2 linked regions of the Coturnix japonica genome follow. Each later gene encodes a partner of the first gene's protein in a complex. Links are inferred from orthologs where the notes say so. Each region holds a gene or a part of one and is shown on either strand. Other genes may lie near its edges.

What was found. Proteins that work in one complex are often made in the same cells at the same time.
Region 2: ANP32A (region 1) and nucleoside diphosphate kinase A-like share a complex: the UniProt entries of both Homo sapiens proteins name them as parts of the SET complex. The link is inferred for Coturnix japonica from reciprocal best matches to the Homo sapiens genes ANP32A and NME1.

The regions. Positions count from the first base shown.
Region 1 is NC_029525.1:17,468,683-17,479,473, forward strand, and holds the start of ANP32A (acidic leucine-rich nuclear phosphoprotein 32 family member A), read right to left. Parts: upstream 7,182-10,791; 5' UTR 6,995-7,181; coding exon 6,941-6,994; intron 1-6,940. UniProt on the Homo sapiens protein: Multifunctional protein that is involved in the regulation of many processes including tumor suppression, apoptosis, cell cycle progression or transcription. Promotes apoptosis by favouring the activation of caspase-9/CASP9 and allowing apoptosome formation.
Region 2 is NC_029533.1:8,737,436-8,747,890, reverse strand, and holds nucleoside diphosphate kinase A-like, read left to right. Parts: upstream 1-3,753; 5' UTR 3,754-4,212; coding exon 4,213-4,506; intron 4,507-4,986; coding exon 4,987-5,088; intron 5,089-5,444; coding exon 5,445-5,557; intron 5,558-5,747; coding exon 5,748-5,865; 3' UTR 5,866-6,100; downstream 6,101-10,455. Other genes in the region: SPAG9 (C-Jun-amino-terminal kinase-interacting protein 4), read right to left, coding at 3,106-3,411; nucleoside diphosphate kinase, read left to right, coding at 6,693-6,821, 7,076-7,177, 7,442-7,554, 7,667-7,745, 7,870-8,073. UniProt on the Homo sapiens protein: Major role in the synthesis of nucleoside triphosphates other than ATP. The ATP gamma phosphate is transferred to the NDP beta phosphate via a ping-pong mechanism, using a phosphorylated active-site intermediate.

The sequences.
Region 1 (10,791 bases):
ATCTGCCCAGAGCTCCTTGGGCAGCCAGCTGCTCTGCCTTCTCCTTGTTCAGCTCAGGTTCAGCCCTGCACCTCCTAGCTCTGTCCAGGTGCTTCCTGCTCATCTGTGCATTGCGCTGTGGTTTGCTGGTGCCAGTCCTTGGTTTTCATATGCATGCACATAAGCAGACTGCAGCTTCTTCAACTAATCCTGAGACAGCGTGCCTTGGACCTCTTCTCCTGTCTCCAGTGTCTATTTGCGACGGGCTCAGAGGCTTTCAGAAGATGACATCATGCTGCTGTTAACACACGCTGCGCTGCTGGCTGCAGATTACAGCATCCTCTGTATCTCTTCAGGACTTTCATGACATCACACTCTGCATTACTGCCTACTTGATAAGCAGGGAGTCTTATCTCTTTCCTAGTATGGTTACCACATTAAGCTGTATGCCCAGCTGTATGGTATTCTTAACATAGCCGTGTACACTGCAAGACTTCAACCTATTCCTAGGCCAAGTACAGGCAGTCACGCATAAACAGTGACTGAATTTCATGGCAGCCCTAGCAAGAGGATCCCCAGCTCGCTCACTCCCATATTCTAAATGCACAATCAATGCAATATAGTTACAGACAGCTACTATGCAGCACAAGGTATCACCTTAACCCTTAATCTGCATTGCCATAAGAGCATGTAAAAAAAGGCTTTCTGAAGTAGAGACTTTCCCTACAGCCCCTGGGCAGGGAGACCCAGAAGTGGGACTAAGCTCCTGAATCCAGGTCTGTGATTGAAGGCTTAACAATGCGACAGAAGGACACAGCTGTGAATACAGTTTTTAAAAGATAAAAGGCAAATTTACAAGTACAAGTACCATTCTGTGGCTTCACAAGCAGAGCTACTAAGACTGTAACATCTCATTTTCAGCACAATGGATCAGATGCTTTTGAAGTGTTTGCTGCTGTGCCCCTAGGACAGGGATATCTCAGTGTGTGGCATTTCAACCCCCAGAAACAGGAGAAGATGAGGGTGTTAACTCTGCCTTGCTCTGTTCCCTGCTGAATAGAGCTTACAAGCATTGGTTGCAGGTGACAGTAGCAAAGTTGTTTTTTTCCCCTACCAGAACAACTTCTGACATTGGATTTTGATGCATCTCCTCAAAGTTTCACTATGAGAAGCTGAGATGCAACAAATGAATAGATTTTACTTGCTTGAATTGTCTTCCACAATGAAAGTTAGTTAGTCCATTGACCTTGCACGGGCTCTGGTCATCACTGCGTTGGGCAGAAATCTGCAAAGCCTGGAGCAAGGAGAAACACTGCTCAAAAAAAGGCCACAGAACACAAAGCACTGCCCTGAGATGCAGCAGAACACACAGCAGGAAGAGCAGCGAGTGACAGCTGGGAAGAGATGGGATGGAATTAATGTGTGGCCCTTGTCACTGTGAACATTGGGTATCATTATGGCCAGCAGGTACCCAGCCAAACAGCAGAGCTCACCCTTGCCAAACACTTGGTTCATGTTGGAGCTCCAGAGCAGCTGAGGCTGGAGCTTGTTTTGTTGGGATCTCTGCACCCTCCCAATCGTAGCTGTCCCTTCCACCAGCACCCTCCAACTGGCCTTTCTGAAACAACACAGTTTGCAGATGGTGAGCACAACAGTGCCCCATGCAGGCTGCTCCAATTTAACCTGTTCCACTTCTGCTAATTCTGCCCATTTTGTATGTGTTCAGCCGAGCTGGAGCTCCAAAGTCTTGCAACAAGGTCATGTGAAACTACTACTGGGCTTTGAAATTCACCTAGGCTTCCTCCTAATGATGCAACCCCAAACTTGCATATTTGAATTCATCTTCTGCATCTCTTTTCCAGAAACAGAACACACCAGGACTCTGCATTACTGCTAAGCCAGGAAAAGGGAAGGAGCAGAAGAGAGATAAGAAAACACTCTAATTTTCTCTTTTTATGTATCTGTTATTGAAGCTATTCTCTCTTCTGAGGCAGCCTAAGTTTGCTTGCATAGCTCAGAGATCTTTACTTTTTCTACCCTCTAACATTTCACATACCAGTTACAGGACCCGAGAGCAACACATTTGGCTCCAGCCAACTTGAAGCCCCTTCACACAGCACCTGAGAGAAACCTAATGGAGCAGAGGAAATACGTAAGCAATAGGAGAGTTAAGAGTCTTAATGATTCTCACTACACCTCTGTATCTAATTAGGAAGAAACTTCAGAATCAAAAAGCCTCCAGAATAAAGATAATAATCTACTGCTGCCTTCCTCAAGGAACAGCACCCCAGCATGAAACCCCACGGGTCACATAAAGATACTTTCACACACTTATAAGGTCAATGTAGCCGTATGCATAAGCACCACATGAATTAATAAACTGAGAACACACATTGGGGACACAGAAAGCTGCTTCATTCAAAAGCACAGAGCTAGTTTTCATTTCTATCATTAGCAGCAAAACTCTAATTTAGACTCCAAATATTTATGTAGACGGTGACTGTTTCAAACCTGTAAGTGATTAAATTACTCAGTTTTTGTAATAAATGCTTTCACATTGATGTCACTTTCTGCTCCTGGCTGGGGCAGGTGACTTCATGGGGGGCATATCAGCTCCATGTTCCAGCTTCCTTGTACGAGAGCCACATGCCTGACAGCACATCCAAGGTGCTCTTCAGTTACTGCCAGCTACAATGAAATAAAGCAGAACCAAAAGGTAGATCACATCACAACCTGAAAACTCCGCAGTTAGGAAGTTCTAAGTATTGAGCTGAACCTCTTCACTTTGTTCAGCTGCATCAAACTGCCCTCAGCAACAAATGACTGATATACATCAAAAAGTGCTCTATTTAAATTAATACTAATTTCAAGAGCTGCTTAGTTGATACAGAAAGCAGTCACTAAAGATGTCAGCTGCTACAGAACGCATTAGCAAATCACACTTAGAGAAGATAAGCTTTTCCTTAGCGTTTTTATGGCTTTAGAGGGGAAGTGTTCAACAGACCAAGTCAATGGACAAACAAGTGCCCCCATAGAGAACACAAATCACACACAGTGATGCGAAGGCAAACACTTCCCATCGGGTTTATAGACCATCAGGTGGTTGTACCCAAACTTTTTCAGATGCAGGTCTTTGAAGCAACATGTATCACTTTAAAGTCTCTACTGTTATTGTGAGCATCACACCAAATAACTAGAGAAAAGAGCTCTGTTATTTAGATTCTTCATACGAGAGAACACTCCACATAGATGCTTACACCCTTCAATGTTAAAACCTACAGTAAACTAGAGGGAAATCACAATCCAAACAAGTTTTAAAGTGAAAGAGAAAGTCAGAAAAACCATAAGAGATACCCAATGTTGCAGGCAGAGCTTTATCACTGTCATAAATCTGAGCTGATAAAGCTCCTCTCAAAAGCAGCACTAAATCCTCAGACTAAGTGAACCGGTATGGAGGCACTAAGCCATCAGAGATGAGTTTGGTGCATAACTTCCATACGCTGCCTCTGTGCCCCATGGCTGAGAAGTCCCCCTTCACACTGACATCATTGCACATGAGCTGGGTTACAGACAATAGAAATGAGCAGCAACACCCACAAACACACCCAGCCCCCTGTGGTCAGTAGTTACATCACTACGGGCCTGGAGAAAACCCATATAAAACAGTTGGATCTCACCACAGAGTCATAGGATCACAAGGTTGGAAAGGACCTACAAGATCATCCAGTCCAACTGTCCTCCCATTACTGTTGCCAGCAAAAGCCACTAACCCATATCTCATAGCTCCTCATCTAGACACCAATTTCTAGTAGGCACTTTAATGCAGTATAATAGAAGATGATAGCGATAAGATCAGCAAAGCATCAAAGGCCACAGCACGTGCACTGCCGTAAGAGAACATTGAACATAATGGGTTACAATAAGCGGCAATACCTACAAGGCAGATGGCAGAGCTCAACTCGGGCCATACAACAAGGAAAAACCAATTCCAGGCACCACAAATAGATTCCTCACCAACACACACAAAACCCACCGAATTTCAGGCACTGCAACCCCAGGCTGCTCACCAGCATCGACCTCATATAAAACAGCAGCGGAGCCTGAGAAGGAAATAGCTACAATACAATCCTCTTTGAGACATTTATATTACATTTTTATTGGCTAACATGTAACCTTGCAGGGTTATGTAACTGAGTAGCTGTACAGTATTACATAGTATCTGACACAGCTGTATTAGCCCATAGCATAAGATGGTAATAGGGGCTTTCTGAGCTTAAACACCTTATCAACATTCCCTTATCAAAGCTTGATTTACAGAAAGTTTTGATTCTGCAAGCTCTGAGAACAGATCGAACGTGAGAGGCACTGCAGACTTAAGCACATATACAATAGCAGCCCCAAGAAGCGAATACACTCCCATTTGTGCCCTTGTTTTCAGCAAGATTTATCTGCATTACATTTAAAGCTTTGAAAATACAAGAAACACCGGCTGCCTATGAGGGCAGAGATTAACACAGTGCCCAGAACCATCTTATTCATGCCCCACATCCACGAATCAATGATACCTGGCATTATATTTACACTAAAACTCAGCTTCAAACGCTGGAGCACTGGCTGGATTGAGCTGCATTTGCTTCTAACAGCTACTTTAAAGCAACAGAGTTCAAACTGCACCCTCAGCTCCCCACAACACGAGAGCAGGTGGAAGCATCTGTCATCAATGGTTGTGCAGGAATGACTGTAAACAGAGCAGCACTCCCAAAGGGCAGCTCCCCTTTGTATGCAGGCGCAACTGTTTACCTACAGAACGGATTACGAGCCCATTTGTTACCTTGGGAAGTGGAACACAGTGACAGAATTAAAGGTTAAGAGGTTAAAATAAAACAGACACGGCGGGTCAAACAAGCATTATTTTACAGCAGGGTGGGTTTCTGAACTGCCGAGGGGCAGCAATACAGCAGTGAGATGGGGTTGTCTATGGAAGGAAGCAGCACCAAAGTGGGGCTTCTCAGAGCAGTGAAACAGCAACAGATCGGGACTCCCAGAGCAGTGACCCACCGCTCAATGGGGGCTCTGGGAACTCCCTCTAAGTCAGAGCAGAAGCTGAAGCAGATATGAATGACGGGGAGAGCCCAGCCTGCACCCAGCACACTTGGGATGGAGGCTGAGTCCACATGAAATGCTTTATCTCACTGTCCAGCAGCACGAGAGACAAAAACTACATCAAATAAACGCGAAAAAACCCCACAAAACAAAGATAAAAAATACTTCCAGGATAACGCTAATAACAGTAACAACAACAAAGCCGGGCCCTGCTCAGAGCCCATCCCCCGCCCTCCCCAACGCTGCCCCACAGGGACCAGGGGGCAAAGAGCCGATCCAAAGGGGAACGGCGGAGGGGAAGGGGGGTGGGAGAGGAGCAGGCCGCGCTTTACCCTCCGCTCGTCCCGCCGCCGCGTCTCGCCGCCAGGAACCTCCTCCCGCCCGGCGACAGCGGCGACAAAATGGCAGACGGCGGCGGTCCGTCATGGAGGAGCCCCCTCCGAGCCCCGGCCGCCCCCGCCGCGCCCCCTGAGGGGAGGGGATGGCCGCGATCCGCTATGGCGAGCCCAGACCCCCCATACACACACACACCCACCGCCACCGAGCAGCGTTAAGGGCTCCGAAGCGGCCCCTCGAGGAGGGGAACCCCCGCCCGGCGCGGAGGGGAGCGCGGAGCGGCGGGGAGGGACAAACCGCCTCCTCCTCCTTCTCCTCCTCCTCCTCCCTCAGAGCTCGGGAGGGGAAAAAAACATGGCGCCGCGTCCTACTTGCGCTGCCCGCGCCTGGAGACGGCCCCGGGAGCGGCGCGGGGAGCGGTTCGGCTCCGAGCCCGCTTTGTGCCCCCGCACAGGGGGACAATGAGCCCCGCGGGACGGCAGCGCCGAGTGCCCTCCTCCTCCTCCCGGCACAGGACTTTTTAAAGTTTAAAGAGCAGCTTCCATCCATCCATCCATCCATCCATCCATCCATCCATCCATCCATCCATCCATCCGCCTCCGCCCTCCTCCCCTAGAGGTACGTTCCATTCAGCCGCGCTCTCCCCCCTCCGCTCTCAGCGCGGACCCCACCGCCGCCCTCAGCCCCCGGGGGCGGCTTCGCTCGGGGCCGCGGGTTCGAAACCCGCCGCCACCACCACCCTGGGAGCGGGGCTCGGGGTGGGGGCCCGCCCGCCTCGGGGCACCCCCCGGGCTCCGACTATTTTCGTCCTGACAAAGTTTCTCGGCCGCTTCGCTCGGGGAAGAGGCTGAAGCGCTGCCCCGAGCTGCGGGGATAAGGGTTAAAAATAAGCCGAAAAAAAGAGGAAAACACGCACACACACACACAGACACACACACGCAGCCGGCCCTTCTGTGCGTGCGGGGATGGAGAGGTGCGGAGCGCATTCCCTTCCTCGCTCTCGTTGTTTTTCTCCTCGCTCCCTTTCTCAATCCCCCGCTCCCCCATGGCCACGCTCCCACCGACCCTTTTCCCCTTTCCCCCCCCCCTCCCTCAGCATCGGGAGGGAGAGAGGAGGAGAGAGAAAGGGCGCGTTCATGAGCACCACAAAGTTACAAATATGGCTCCCCAGCCTCCGCTCCCGCCCGCCGCGCACACACCCGCCGCGCTCCGGACCCCCCCGGCGCCACAACTCGGCCGCTCCCCGCTCCGGCCCCGCTCTGGGGTCGCCCCCCGGGTACGAGGCGTGAGGTGAGAACCGACCCCCCTCCATCCCCCCCCACAGCCCCACGCAGGAGGAGGCAGCGCCCGGCCCGCGGCCCTCTGCTCGGGTATACAGCTTTAAAGGCGTCGACCCCCCACACACACACCCCACCTCCCCCTTTAAAATAAATAAATAAATAAAATAATAATTTAAAAAAAAAAAAAGATGAGCTGCCTTTTTTTTTTTTTTTTTTTTTTTTTTTTTTTTTTTTTTGCTTACATCTGAGGGCGTCCTGTTCCGCAGCTCTAAGTGGATCCTTTTCTTCATGTCCATGGTCTCGGCTCTGTGCTGGAGGCTCTTCTCGCTGTCCCCGGCTCCGCTCCGTGTGGTGACACCGCCGCAGACCCCCCCTCAGTAATGAGGGACTTTGAGGGCTCAACCAGCGCCGCTCGGAATCCCGAGCCCCAGCGCCGCGGCGAACACTAACCTGATAACTGCGGAGGTGGGGGCTCCGGATTGACTGACGGCTCAACCAGCCAATCGCCTCGCCTCTCCGCGAGGCTGTAACCAATAGGAAAGAGCGAGGCGCTGTGAGAGCCAATAGGGAAGCGGCACAGCCGGCCAGGGGGACAGCCCGGCTGGGAGCGGAGGATCATTCCGTGCTGGTGGCTGATGGGGAAGGAGCGGCGCGGCTCCGCGGTGGGGCTGGGGCGCGCCGTGCTCCCCCTCTCACCGCTCTCCCCCCCGCCGCTCTGCCGGATCCTGGGGGAGGCGCCGAGGGGCGGGGAGCGGAGCTTCCAGCCGGAGCCGCCCGGGGAAGGGGCGAGCAGCCAGGAGGGAGGGAAAGGTGCGGAACGGGGCGGCTGAGGGGAGGCTGAGGGGAATGGAAGAGCGGGCCGACGGAGGGGGGGGGGAATGGGCGGGAAGAGCGAGGGGAGGGGCGGGGCCGGAGGGGGAGGGGCGCCATGTTGGGGGGGAATGGGGCAGCATTGGAGCAGCATGGGGGATCCGTGTGGGGTGGGATGTGAGGGGGGTCCGGGAGAGGTGGCGGTGATGGGAAGGCCCGGCGGTTGCTCTGGTTGTGGTGAATGGGTGTCACCTGAAGCCCGGCTCCGTGCGGCCTTGCCTTGCCAATAAGAGCTGTGTGTTCTCTTGTATCTTTGGCCAGGCGAGCTGCTGAAACGAGGTGCTAAAAACGTCCTGGCAGGGCTCGATGTTTGCACCAGGTCTGGCCTGTTGTTGCGGTGCAGCATGCAGAGGTGAGCACCCTTAGTGAGCTTCCCTGTGCAGCGTGGAGGCTGGGAGAGCAGCTTGAGACGTTTATGTTTGTTAATAGGCGGCAATTCTCACCCTCTACTGTGATATTCTCATTTATAGGGTGTGTATCTTACCCACATCATCTGGACGAGGTGCAATGGGCAGCTCAGTGGGAGTGAGAGCTGGCAGAGAGATGGAACTGGATCCAGTGTAAGGTAAATAAACTAATAACCTTAATTCTACAGCTCTTTTTATTTGCAGCAGGTTTTGGTGATGAAGGCTGTGGGGTGATTTTATTGCAGCCCTCAAGTACTTGAAGGGAGCTTATAAGCAGGAGGGGATGTAACTATTTAAACAGTGTGATAGCGATAGGATAAGGGGAAATGGCTTTACACTTAAAGAGGGGAGGCTTAAGTTAGTTGTTGGGAAGAAACGCTCTCAGAGGGCGCTGAGGTCAGGCTGGCACAGGCTGAGCAAAGAGCTGTGGATGCCCCATCCCTGCAGGCATTCAAGGCCAGGCTGGATGTGGCTCTGGGCAGCCTGGTCTGGGGGTTGCTGACCCTGCACACATCAGGGGGTTGGAATGGGATGAGCATTGTGGCCTTTTCAACTCAGCCTTTTCTATGGTTTTACAATATGAGTCTCTCTGTAGTGTAGCTGTTAGAGCCATTGGATGAGTTGTTTTATTTACTATTCGATAACACTGGTTTCATTGTGCTAAAGCAGTGTTTTAGGATGTAAACTTGGCAAAGTTTTCTAACTTCTGGCTCAAGGTGAATTTTATTTTACCTCTGTTTTAAATTCTCCTTTACAGGTGTGAACGAAGGTGGCCCCTAGGTTGAACTAGGCTGAAGTTTCACCAAGGATGTCTCAGTCTGGAATGTGGTTCAACGGCACAGGTGAAGATCTTTGGAAAAGTAGAGCATCTGTACGTGTATGGTAACCAGTAAGTCCCAGCCTGTCCCATTGATTGATCCCCTGGGGAAAGGACTGGTCAGCCCTGGGAGCACAAGCAAAGGCAGTTCAGCTGTGAGACAAGAAGGGGTGGAGCCTGGCTGCACCTCTGTTAGACCTCATTTAAGGACTGACTGCCACAGGAGAAGGATCTCTGGTAGGAGATTCCTCTCTTGTGGAGTCTTTCCTGCGAGCCTAGATCTTGGTGAGCACTTTCCTTTCTCTGTGTGAATCCATTCTGTCTGCTCTGATCCCTTTGCTGTTTCACTCCTGTATTGCTGGTCCTCCATGCTGACCTTTCTGATTGTAACAGTAGGTATCAGCCATCACCATGGGGAAAAAAATAAGTTTCTGGAAATCTAGAGGGTTTTCTTGCTTTCTTAAGAATGTGTTCTTTAAAATTATGAACTGCTTTTCTCCAGGATGGGGATGAATTAATTCAAAGTTCAAAACCAAAGGAGTTTAAATATTGCTTCTGCCCCATGTGAGCATATGCTGTGTGATATGCTGCATGTTGTAATGATTTTAGAGGACTTGAAAGTCGTTGGGAGAACTAAAAATGAATGGAAATATTCTGGGGGTCAGATATTGAAGTGTCCTCTCACAATAGTATGTGCATTTTGAGTAACTGTAGGGTACAGCTTAAACAGTACTTGCTCAATGGTTTGACTGTTAACATTTAGAACATAAGAAAAATTAGCTTAGATACTGATATAAAGATTCAGGTTTGCTGCTTTTGCAGTAGAGGAAAAATCTGTTAGCTCTTGGTGCAGGAATGCTAAGTCTTAATTGGGGGATTTTTATTGTGCATTTCAATGATGGAAACGGTTCCTCTACCTGTTGTAGGTGTCACTGACTGGAAATGCTGTGCACTGACAAACCTACGGAGTCCTGTCTTGTCAGAGTCCTTAACAGAATGGAGCAGCAGTGATGGTCTGAGCTCAGCTCACTGTGATGAGAAGTGGTCGTGAGGACCTGTGGTCAGTCTCCTGTTGGAAGATGAAGATACTCTGTTTTTATCTGTACGTCCTGTTTTTTAATGTTCGAGTACAAAGAAGTTGATGTTGTAAGTAATCACTGCAGTTAATGTTTGGTTTTGGATGTGGTTCACATATTTATCCAGTTCCTTCAGTACTGAAAGTCATCTGTTGTTAATTATGTGACCAACAAATTCTGAGTACAGGTTTGCACGTAGAAGCTCATCATGTGTCAGGATCTTTGGCCCAAACTGGAATTGCTAAAGGCACTCACTGTGGAAGATGCTGAAGCTTTATTGAGTTATGTTTTTACAAGCTTCTTTATGATTCTCTTTTAGGTATTTTCCGATCTAACATTGCAAAGCTATTTAGTGTAACGGCAGTTAGGTGATTTCGTGCCCAATTTTTATTTTGCTATGTAAATCTCTTCCCACCTTTTTTTTTAATGTGAATTGCTACAGCTTTACTTTACCATAAGTTTTATATGAAAAGCAGCAATACTTTAAGAGCGTGCAGGAGCATTTCCCATGTCTGTAAACTTAGTGGGTAGTTGAGCATTTGCTGAAATGAGCTGCCAATTGTTTTCTGTCTTATAATACTCCTTTGTAGATCTCCTGGTCTCTGGCTTGTCCCCGCCGCATCTATACAATGCAGTCCTTCATGTTTTGTGTAACATCTTCCTCAGTCGTTTCTGTGTGTGTAAATACAGAAACTGGAAAGAGAAAATTCTGTTTGTGAATTGTCCCTCTTCCTGCTCTCACTTCTCCACCCCTCCAGTGTATCTGGAAGGCTGGTCGTGAGCAGGAAGTGAGAACAATATTGATCACTGGTATCGAGGAATTCTGGGGGGAAAAGGCCAAAGATGAGCATTGGAAAACAAGCTACGTGTTCTGACAACAGATTTATATCTTGAGACCCTTAGCATGGGGGTGCTGTAGGTAG
Region 2 (10,455 bases), on another chromosome or scaffold:
TGCTTCTCTGATGTAAGTCAGATGCGTCCCGTACCTTGGGGAAGGCCGATGACAATTATACTTTGGACCAGACAGCCGTTCAAAGCCTTCAGAATCACTGTTACTAATAAAACTCTTCATTTTGCTCATGTCCTTCAATTGCATGCATTAAAAATGGTTTTGTTTAAAAGTGAAATGATTTGGGGTAATTTTCCCACTGATTTTGCCTTTATTTTGTTAAAGTTAGAATTGAGGTTGTAACTCCTCTGACTGGAGCTGAGTCAGTTTCCCCCCTTTGCTTTGCTGTGTGCTACTCCACACCAAACCAAGGCCTGAGTCCTTCAGACTGAGCGCTTACAGCTCCCAAGAGAAGTGAGTTTTCTGGCTTTTTTTTCCTGCAAAGAACAAGCTGAAGGACACCAATGTGCCTTTAAACACTCATGCCAATGACAGAAGACACTGAAACCAAAGGGTTCAACCTGCCCTTCGAAGACCACCTTGTTCAAGGCTCTTGGTCTGCGATGATTAATGCCTGTCTGCATCCTAATTTTGACATATGAGTTATAAGCACAGGATCCAGTCCACACCTCCTTCTGCTTTTGCCTTCTGCTGAAATCCAAACCTCAGATCCCTCCATAAGCTATGTTTAGTAACTCCCTTCCACTCCTCCCCGTTTTCTCCAGGCAGAGTCAACTTTGTCACTTCAGACAGACATTTGTCTGACCTGCTTAAAGACCCCGGGTACAAAGCAATAAGATTCACAAATCCCCATATAGATTTATCACTATATTGAGCTTACTGCAATAATTCTTGCAATAGACACGGATGTGAATCACGGAACAGCGCAGCATACACATACAGTTTGAACAACCACCCAAGCAAACAATCATTTGGTGACTCGGTAACACACTGTCAGCAAAATTAAACATTTCTTCCTACATTAGTTTTATCGCCTCCTCCCTGACACGCTGGCATGTTTTCCTGTCACATGATCCAGGTGCAGCACTCAGAGTATCTGATTTGAGGGTGTATCTGATTTGAGGGTGCCGCCCACTTGGCTGCCTTCATCACCCTGTGACACAGACTTGAGTAACTTCCATTGCGATGATGCAGCCAAAGGCAGCTGCATCAGGGTACACACATAAGGTCAGCTACAGAACCAGCTCAGCTAGACACGGTGCAGATACAAATACAGGTGGATTGAAGTTGAAGCTGTTTAACTGCCCGTGTTTCCAAGTCCAAGTGAAACTCCTGCTATCCACACACAACCACAGCAGCATACACGTTCTTCTTCCTGCAGGAGTAAGATCACAGAACACTGAATCTCTTTTCCCCTCCAACTTCTTTGTTGCAGGGCTCACTGCCTCACTACTGGGTAGGAAAGTTAAGCTGCACGCTGCTGTGAGCAGAACAAACCAGTAGGAAGTTCCTCTATTTCTCCAGCTCCGCCACAAAAAGCACCATGTTAAAAGCCAGGCAAATTAGAGCAATTAGGAAGATCACAATCAGTATCAAAGGGAACTGAAAAGATCTGGTACTTCTGAATTCTTCCTTATCTGAAAGTCCCTAACAAAAGTCCACAGACAACAGCTTTCAGAACATTTCTTAAAAACTCAGTTCAGGAACAAAGAGGCAAATTAGGACATCAGTACATTCATGCTTCTACTCAAACAACACACCATTAACACTCACCAAGACAACGCTGCAAGTAAGAACTCAAATAAGAACTACAACGTCAAGGAGAAAGTAAAAGAAGGCTCCTGAGTTCCTCAGGACAGCCCAGACAGAGCGTGGGACACCCAACTACATCACTCACAAGTGTCCATTTTGCTATCAGGTGACACAAGGAACCTTCACAATGAAGGGAAACAAACAACATGAAGCCAATAACGGGCTGTGTCCAAGAAAACAGTGCTATATTGACATTCTCTCCTTTTTTTTGACATTCTCTCCTCCAGACCAAAGTCCACAAAGCAGTTAAAGCTGCTGTTGGACAGGGACAAGGAATGGTTTGTTGGTCCAGGAGGCTGGGACACCTGACAGCACATTTGTAGGGCAATGCTTTTCACTCAGATCCATAACAGATACACACACGTGTGCAGGGCAAACAAAGCTCTACAAATTCAGCTCTCTTCAACAACACCACCTTCATCTTCAGTGCTATTTTATTAATTTTGGGAAAATTTAGAAGGCAAACAACCCAGAGCCAAACAGGGGACACGAAGTCTGGAAATAGACTCATAAGATGGTTTGTTCTATTACAGGTAATGCTGTCAATCCAATTTCCTACAGGAGTTGAGAGGGGCAAAGAGCTGAGAGCAGCCACCCTGCACAGCTGCTTTCTGTTGGATTGCTTTACACTCCAGCAGGAAAAAAAAAAAACAACACCAAAAAGCCTTAAGTCAGCGATGAGAGCATTATTAGGTGTTTTCACCCCATTTTTGTGTCAATATCTGCTTGACAAGGAGCACTCCGCACCACCTGTTGCTGCCCGCAGCTCTGATCACAGAATCACAGAACTATCAAGGTTGGAAAAGACCTAGAAGATCTAGTCCAACCATTCCCAATACTTCCAGGCTAAATCATATTCCTCAGCACCACATCCAAGCGTTTCTCGAACACTCCCATGGTCAGTGACTCCACCACCTCCCTGGGCAGTGCATTCCAATGCCTGACTACCCTTACCGAAAAGTAATACTTCCTAATGTCCAGCCTGAATCTCCCCTGACGCAGCTTAAAACCATTCCCTCTAGTTCTATCACTGATTACACGAGAGAAGAGGCCGAGCCCCAGCTCACTACAACCCCCCTTCAGGAAGTTATAGAGAGCCATAAGGTCTCCAGGCTGAACAATCCCAGCTCCCTCAGCCTCTCATAAGTCCAGTTCTCCAGACCCCTCACCAGCTTTGTACCCCTCCTCTGAACGTTTTACAGCGCACCCACAACGGGTGGGCAGCGCATCCAGCTCCTGGCTCCCCGCCCGCCCCGCAGCGCTGCATCCAACGGCGGGTAACGGCGGGGGGGGCGGATAGAACCATCCTCAAGGCCTCGCCCCGGTTCCCCCCGCAGCCCCGGGAGGAGCATCGAGGAAACGCGGAGCCGCCCTGGCCCCCCCGTCCGCACTCACCTCCTCGGCCTGTTTGCGCAGCGCCTTCTCCCGCTCGTACTGTGTGAGCAGCTGCTCGTTGTCGTCCCGCAGCAGCTCCAGCTCCACGCTGGTTTCCTGGCTGTGCGCACACACCGAGTCCAGGTTCTCCAGCACCGCCACCACTAACGGCATCAGCTCCGCCACCACCTCCTCGTCGTAGCGACCGATCAACCGCTCGAACTCGCGGTAGATGGAACCGGCCAACCCCGACACCCGCTCCGACATCATGGCGGGGCCGGGGCCGCCGGGATCCTCCTGGTACACCACGCCGTCAGCCAGCTCCATGGCGGCAGCCGGGCCGGGGGGGCGGCGGGGCCTCGGCTGCGGCCGGACCGACGGGGGGACGGAACGGGCGGGGGGCGGAGAGCGGCGCGCGGTAATGACGTCACCGCAGCGACGGGACGGCGGGGCTAGAGTCACGTGGAGGGGGCGTGGCCTGGGAGTGACGTCACGAGGGGGCGGGGCTTATTGTGTGGGTGATGGCGGTCACGTGAGCAGGGCTGGGTTGCAAGATGGCGGCGGGGTGGGGGCTGTACAGCCCTGATCTGTTATACTGCTGTTGTGTGCTATGGGCTGTGTGTGTGCTATGGGCTGTGTGCTATAAGCTATGGGCTGTGTGCTATGGGCTGCAAGCAGAAGTGGGTCAAGGTGTCTGACAGCCCCTCAGGGCCCTCTAAGCACACGCTATTTTTACCTTATTTCTATTAGAATTGACAGCCGTGGTTCTATTTCGAGCAGCTGCATTGAGCCCGGCCCGAGTCAGTGCAGGGAGGAGCGGCTGGTTGTGCTGCTTTTATTTCTGGCCACCTGGATGTTTTCAAGCACAGATAAATGAAGTGTTTAGGAATAAAATCCATCTGGGACAGGTCTCAGGTGCTGTAAGATGCACCTTGTTGGCAAATCTTATTTCTGGTCATGTTTTATCACAGCGTGAGATCAGGATCTCGGGGTTGTATTAAAACAGCACCAGGTCCGGAGCTGTATCACAGCGCTCTGCCATGATAACAGACATGAATTATCGGTACCGGCTGCGGACGGACCCGATGCGCCGAGCGCCCCCTGCTGGCGGGAGGCCGCATTACAGCCATGACGCGGAGCGGCCCCGGGGGCGGCCGGGGTTTAAGCCGAGCCGGGCGGCAGCGACAGCGGCAGAACCGAGCGGGGCTGCGGGACCGAGCGGGGTCTGAGCGGGGTCCGGCCGTGTTGGAGTGTGAACCTGTGTGTGCTCAGCCCCGGACAGCAGCCAGGAGCATGGCTGCCATCACTGAGCGAACCTTCATCGCCATCAAACCCGACGGCGTCCAGCGGCGGCTGGTGGGGGAGATCATCAGGCGCTTCGAGCGGAAGGGCTTCAAGCTGGTGGCCATGAAGCTCACACACGTAAGCTGCCCTTCCCTCGTGTTCTTAATAGAAATATCAAGCTGATAACAGAGCGGGAGGTGATAACAGAGTGCTCCGAAGGGTTAAACCTGGAATTCCTTTGGGTGCTCTGGAGAAGTTCCAGTCGCCAGCTCTGGCTAAATGCTTTAGACACGCTAAGCACGCTAATTTTAGTAACTTGATGTCCTTAGTGAGGAGAACGCTCCTGTAGGAGCATCCTGTGCCCAGCTGGTATCTGGATATATTCAGCAATTACCAGGTCACACAGGTTACCTGCTGGGCAACAGACGCCTTTAGAAGCTCAGCTGTAGTTCAGGCCAACCACTGAAACCCGCATTTACTGCATCCAATGTAGGAGCTTCCTACAAGTGCCAGCTTTCCAAGCATGGCCTTGCAGCCAGGTGATCTCAGCTCACTTTGCTGTAAACTTTCTGTCCTTGTGGGGTTTTTGATTATTATTATTATTTTTTTTCCATTCAGGCCTCTGAGGACCTTCTACGGGAGCACTACATCGACCTCAAGGAGCGCCCGTTCTACGCCGGCCTGGTGCAGTACATGCACTCGGGGCCTGTTGTAGCTATGGTGAGTCCTGCAGATGAGGTTTAGCTGTAGAGAAACATGGTGCTGACTTGCCTCACTAAGAGCCTTGTGTTACCTGTTGGATGCCAGCTCACCTATAAGAGATTTTAGAAACTTAGGTTTAAATAATGTGGTTGAGACAGTATGTTGAAGAAGAGGGCAGGGGGAACTGAGAACCGAAGCTGAGAGCTAGAGAGATAGGAAAGCTGCATGAAGAACCCACTATGGAACAGCATAGGAGCTGTTAGGGTGCTGGTTTGTGCTGCCATGGGTGTCATTCTGGGACACATTATTAACTCTTCCTGCTCTGTCTACAGATCAGATTTTAGAATCTCAAAGCATCTTTCTTTTCCCCTGAGGTGTGGGAGGGTCTTAATGTGATTAAGACTGGAAGAGTGATGCTGGGGGAAACTAATCCCATGGACTCCAAACCCGGCACTATTCGTGGTGACCTCTGTGTGCAGGTTGGCAGGTATGTTTTCCAATTATCGATATCTGCAGACAGTGCAGGGCGGTGCTGTCATGGCACAGAGCTGTGCTGCAGGCTGCCCTGCCTGGGGCCGTTCCTAGAGCTGGATGAAGAGCTGTAGGTCCTCACCGTGAATGCAGTGCTGTGCTTGGAGGTTGGAGATTGTATCACTGTAATGTCCATCTTTTCCCAGGAACATCATCCATGGCAGCGATTCCTTAGAAAGCGCCGAGGCTGAGATCAACCTGTGGTTCACTCCTGAAGAACTGGTTGACTACAGGAGCTGCGCTCACGAATGGATCTACGAGTAGAACTGAGGCTCTGCCTTCGGTATCGTGTCCTGCAGTGAGCTCCGCTCCATAGCATCACCTCCTGCAAAGCCGCTTCAGCACCGCTGTGAATAGCGATCGGTGCTTCCTGTCGCTTTGCTTAGAAAGCTGCAAAGCTGGAGATAGGAAATGTGCGTTTAGGGCCGTGTCAGGCGTTCGTGTGGTGGTAGAGGTGAAATTAAATGGCAGAGAAGCAAAATGTCCCTCGTTAATAACACACACCGTCCAGCCGTAGCACGCTCGGCTTCCAGGGTTAAGTACCAAACCCGATGAACCCAAAGCAGCTACGAGCAAAGAAACCTCGATGTCTGTTTCCAAACCGTGCGATGCCCGGACGCGGAGCTCAATCCATCACTGAGCGGCCCGTCCCGGAGCTCCGCTGTTCATCCCGCATCCTCCCCGCAGCGCTCATTGCTCACAGCCGGATCCGCACCGCCCATCCATCACAGCGCAGCGCCGCTGCACCCCCTCCGTGCCCCTCCCTCCCGCAGGGCGGTGTTCCGGCTCTCGGCCGCCTCCTCCTTCTCTTTCTTTCTGCTGCGGAGCTCACGGCGGTGGCTGCGGAGCTGCGGGAGGTGCCGAGTCGGGTCGGGGCTGATCGGGTCGGCGGGAGGGATCCGAGCGGGGCAGGCTGCACGGTGCGGATATCGGCCCGGGGGGGACGGGACGGGACGGGAGCGGAGCGGGGCAGTGCGGGGCGGGCGCCACGTGGGCCGTGCGGAGCAATGGCGGAGGGGCCGCGGGCCGACCTTGAGCTGGAGGGGGGGGGGGGCTCGGGTTGAGGCCGTGTGCTCGTGTTCCGCAGCGCCATGGCTGCCAACTGCGAGCGAACCTTCATCGCCATCAAACCCGACGGCGTCCAGCGGGGGTTGGTGGGAGAGATCATCAAACGCTTCGAGCAGAAGGGATTCAAACTGGTGGCCATGAAGTTCGTGCACGTAAGTCCAGGCCGGAGCTGCCGGCTGTGCCCGGCTCTTTCTTTCCGCTGTCGCCGCGGTCCGTGCGATTCACACCGCCAGGAGAGCGCCGGGTCCGCAGCGCTGAGCTGCAGCGCGGGGAGACAGAGGGGGAACACGGGGCAGCAGCTGCTGCGGTGCTGGGAGCAGCACAGTAACACGGGGATAAATGATACAGCAGTGACACCTCTGTGGTGCGGGGTGGGGGCTGACATTTTCCATTTGTCCTCCCAAAGGCCTCTGAAGAGCTCCTGAAGCAGCATTACATCGACCTGAAGGATCGGCCCTTCTACCCCGGCTTGGTGAAGTACATGAACTCCGGCCCCGTGGTGGCCATGGTACGCAGCCTGCTCTTCCATGTGCAGAGCCATAAGATGTGTGCTTCAAACACGTGCTGCAGTGCTCGTTGTGTTCAATAGAGCCCCTCAAAACTTACTTTCTGCACACACACACCAAAAAACCCCTTACAGCTTGGGGGTAAAAACTGAGAGGAGCTGGGGGGGGTTGGTTTAGTGGTGAAGCCCTCACTAGGGCTCAGCTGTTGTGCAGTGTTCGATGCAGGCAGGGACTGATGGTGCTTTGCTGTTTTTTCTCCCATTCAGGTGTGGGAAGGGCTGAATGTGGTTAAGACTGGCAGAGTGATGCTGGGGGAAACCAACCCTGCGGACTCAAAGCCCGGCACCATCCGTGGGGATTTCTGCATCCAAGTGGGAAGGTCAGTGCTCAGCTGCTTCTCTATGGGGATCACACTTAGCAGGGGCAGGATTTTCTTCAGGGAAGACAAATTGCTGGTGGCTTAACCTGCTTTGATGGGGTTTCATTTGCAGGTTGCAGCCCATAATGGCTACATGGGACAGTGGCTGGGTACAAAACTTCTTAAAACTCAGCTACGTGGCAGAGCTCCATGTAAGATCAGGCAGTGGCTGCTGCAGTAGAATAGCCCTGAGCCCCCACCCTGTTGGGTGTAGTGAGCAGAGCTTATAGTGGGGCTGTGCAGGTGCTGTACCTGAGATGGGGGCTGTCGCTTTAGGTGCTTCATCCTCACTTCTTCCACGTGGCATTTCCACCCTTAGAGGTTTCTTTCTTGATACTGAACAATGTTGCACTGCTCCACAGAAACATCATCCACGGCAGCGACTCTGTAGAAAGCGCCCAGAAGGAGATCAACCTGTGGTTCAAAGCGGCAGAGCTCATCGACTACAAACCCTGTGCACATGACTGGATCTACGAGTGATGTTTCCACAACAAACTGTGCCTTGTGGAGGTGTCACCTCACTGCAGCTGACGGTCTGGGAGCAATCAGTGCAGCGCTGCTCATGGCAGGTTTTCAGAGCAGTCAAATAAATGGATGATACAAACCAACTGCTTACGGTGCTTTCATTGTAGGGCAGAGCAGTGAGCTGCCCCAGCTGGGTGAATGTGAATGGGGAGGGAGAGGATGCTGCATCTCCTCACATAGAGCTGCACTGAAGGGAAAACCTGATGCTTCCCCATGATAATTTCTAGCCCTATGCACAGTTGTAAAATAAAGCCAGGTGCAAAACCTGCCTCTCCTGGGCTGCAGCTCCATTGTGTGCCCAGCAGCAGCTCCACAAGGAAACAACATCCAAGAACTGACTTGTAACGTTTTTATTTTGTGTAAAAAAGGCAAATTTAGTGAATTATTTCCATCTTGTACACAAAGTTATAATTTTAATGCTTTTCACATCCATGCTGAAAATCTGCGGTCTCATAAAAATGAAAGGAACGTTTCGTTTCCCCAAAAGCATTTTTTTTTTTCCACGTATGTACATTGTGTGAGAAAGCCTTCAACTCCCTCATTGACCACACGAGTTACCAAGAAAATAAAAGATAAATTTGTACAGATATTGATTTATATATCAAATACATACAGAAATGATGTAAAAACCCCATTTGTTTCACCTCCAATCCTGCCCCGGCGCCTCCCCGGGGCCGGAGCTGACAGCTGTGTGTATAAATGGCTGCGGCTTTGTTTTAAATAGCAAAATTAAAAGGAAGAAAAAATTCAGTTTAAATCACAGTTTTTTTTTTTTAAAAATCCCTTCCCAATAAAGGATTGTTACCAAATATATTAGCACCATTGTACAAATCCGGACAGGGGAGGGGATTCACATCACGTAAAACAACAAGAAGAACAAACAAACACTGAAACCCGTGTTAGTATCCGTAGAACAAAGAGCTGATGACCACCTTCACTTCCTCGGGTGCAGCAAGGGAAGGGTTGGACTGACAGAACTCCAAGACCACCAGGAGGGCTCCAGCAATGGAGGGGAGCTGCAGACATGGCATCCTGCTGTGCCCAGCGCTGACCCCATTGAAAGCTCCGCATCCAACACTGCTCTGTGAAGCTAATGACCCCCAGAAACTGATGGGTGCTCCCTACACACAGCAAAGCCCACAGCACAGGTACCAGAAGGGACCTGTAACCCACGGCTGAAGAGAAATCCTCGAACCACCAGGTGGGATTTGCTCAGCCCAGGATCCCACAAACCTCTTGAGGAAATGCCCTGAATCCCTGACACGGTTTGCTTAGGACAGATCCCACCACCCAACAGTTAAACAACGCTGGTATCTTCTCGATACGGACACAAACGTCCCTCCTTTGTCTCAGCCCACAGCTCCGACAGTCGTGTGCCATCAGAACGCAGGGCAGCTCAGACACGTAGTGTTTGACCAAAGGGAACTTGCTCCTAAAGAACACTGGAAACACTGACAGATTTCCAATCTGATTCCTATATTTCTCCAGCACAGGAAATGCAGTCAAAGTGCCATCTTTGCCTCTCAGCAGCCAAAGCTCACAGGTCAGCTATGCCTGGGAAGCCAAGCTCTGACCTGGGCAACACACAGAAGCCCAAGGTTTCCTGGCTTGGGAACATCCCTTGCCAACCACAGCCCAAATTTTCACATCAATAGACAAATTAATGCACGTTTTTCTACTGTACTGAGAAGCAACTGATAAGAAAGCGAGAATGTGCCCAACTCGTTCCAGCTGCCTGTGGAGATCTGGAAATTGCCACATCAAAGACCACGAATGGAACCAACAGGGATGTACTTACCAAACCAAATCAACACTTGCAGAACTGGATTTTATGGCAGCATAAACGGAGAGCATGGGAAAAAAAGAGTAAAATCAAGGCTCAAAGTGTCATTAACGATGGTCTCTAAACCTACTCCTCCAACACAGGGCGCTCAATAGAAATGCCCACGAGGGTCAGGCTCTGAGAGGACGGATCTGAAGCCCAGCAGACAAGTGAAAGTCCTTTCACTATGGCTGCTGCAGAGAGCTGAAGCGTCTGCATCACCTGAAGTACCAGGTGCCTCCAATCCATTACGCAGATGCTGTCAGTGTACGAAGCTGTTGTTAAAAAGGGGTCAGTACAGACATTTTCACTGGTAAGGGAAAATTCCAGACATTCCTATGCTATACAGGACAGGTTGGTTTTTGTTTTTGTTTTTTTCTTTTTAAATTCCAGTAGTAAATACAAAACTTTACATAATTAACCCCTCTTGCATAGAATGAGGTAAACCTGTGCATATTACCCACACTACGTACCCAAAGTTAGAGCAATATTTTAGAAAAGATTCCATTTGCTGG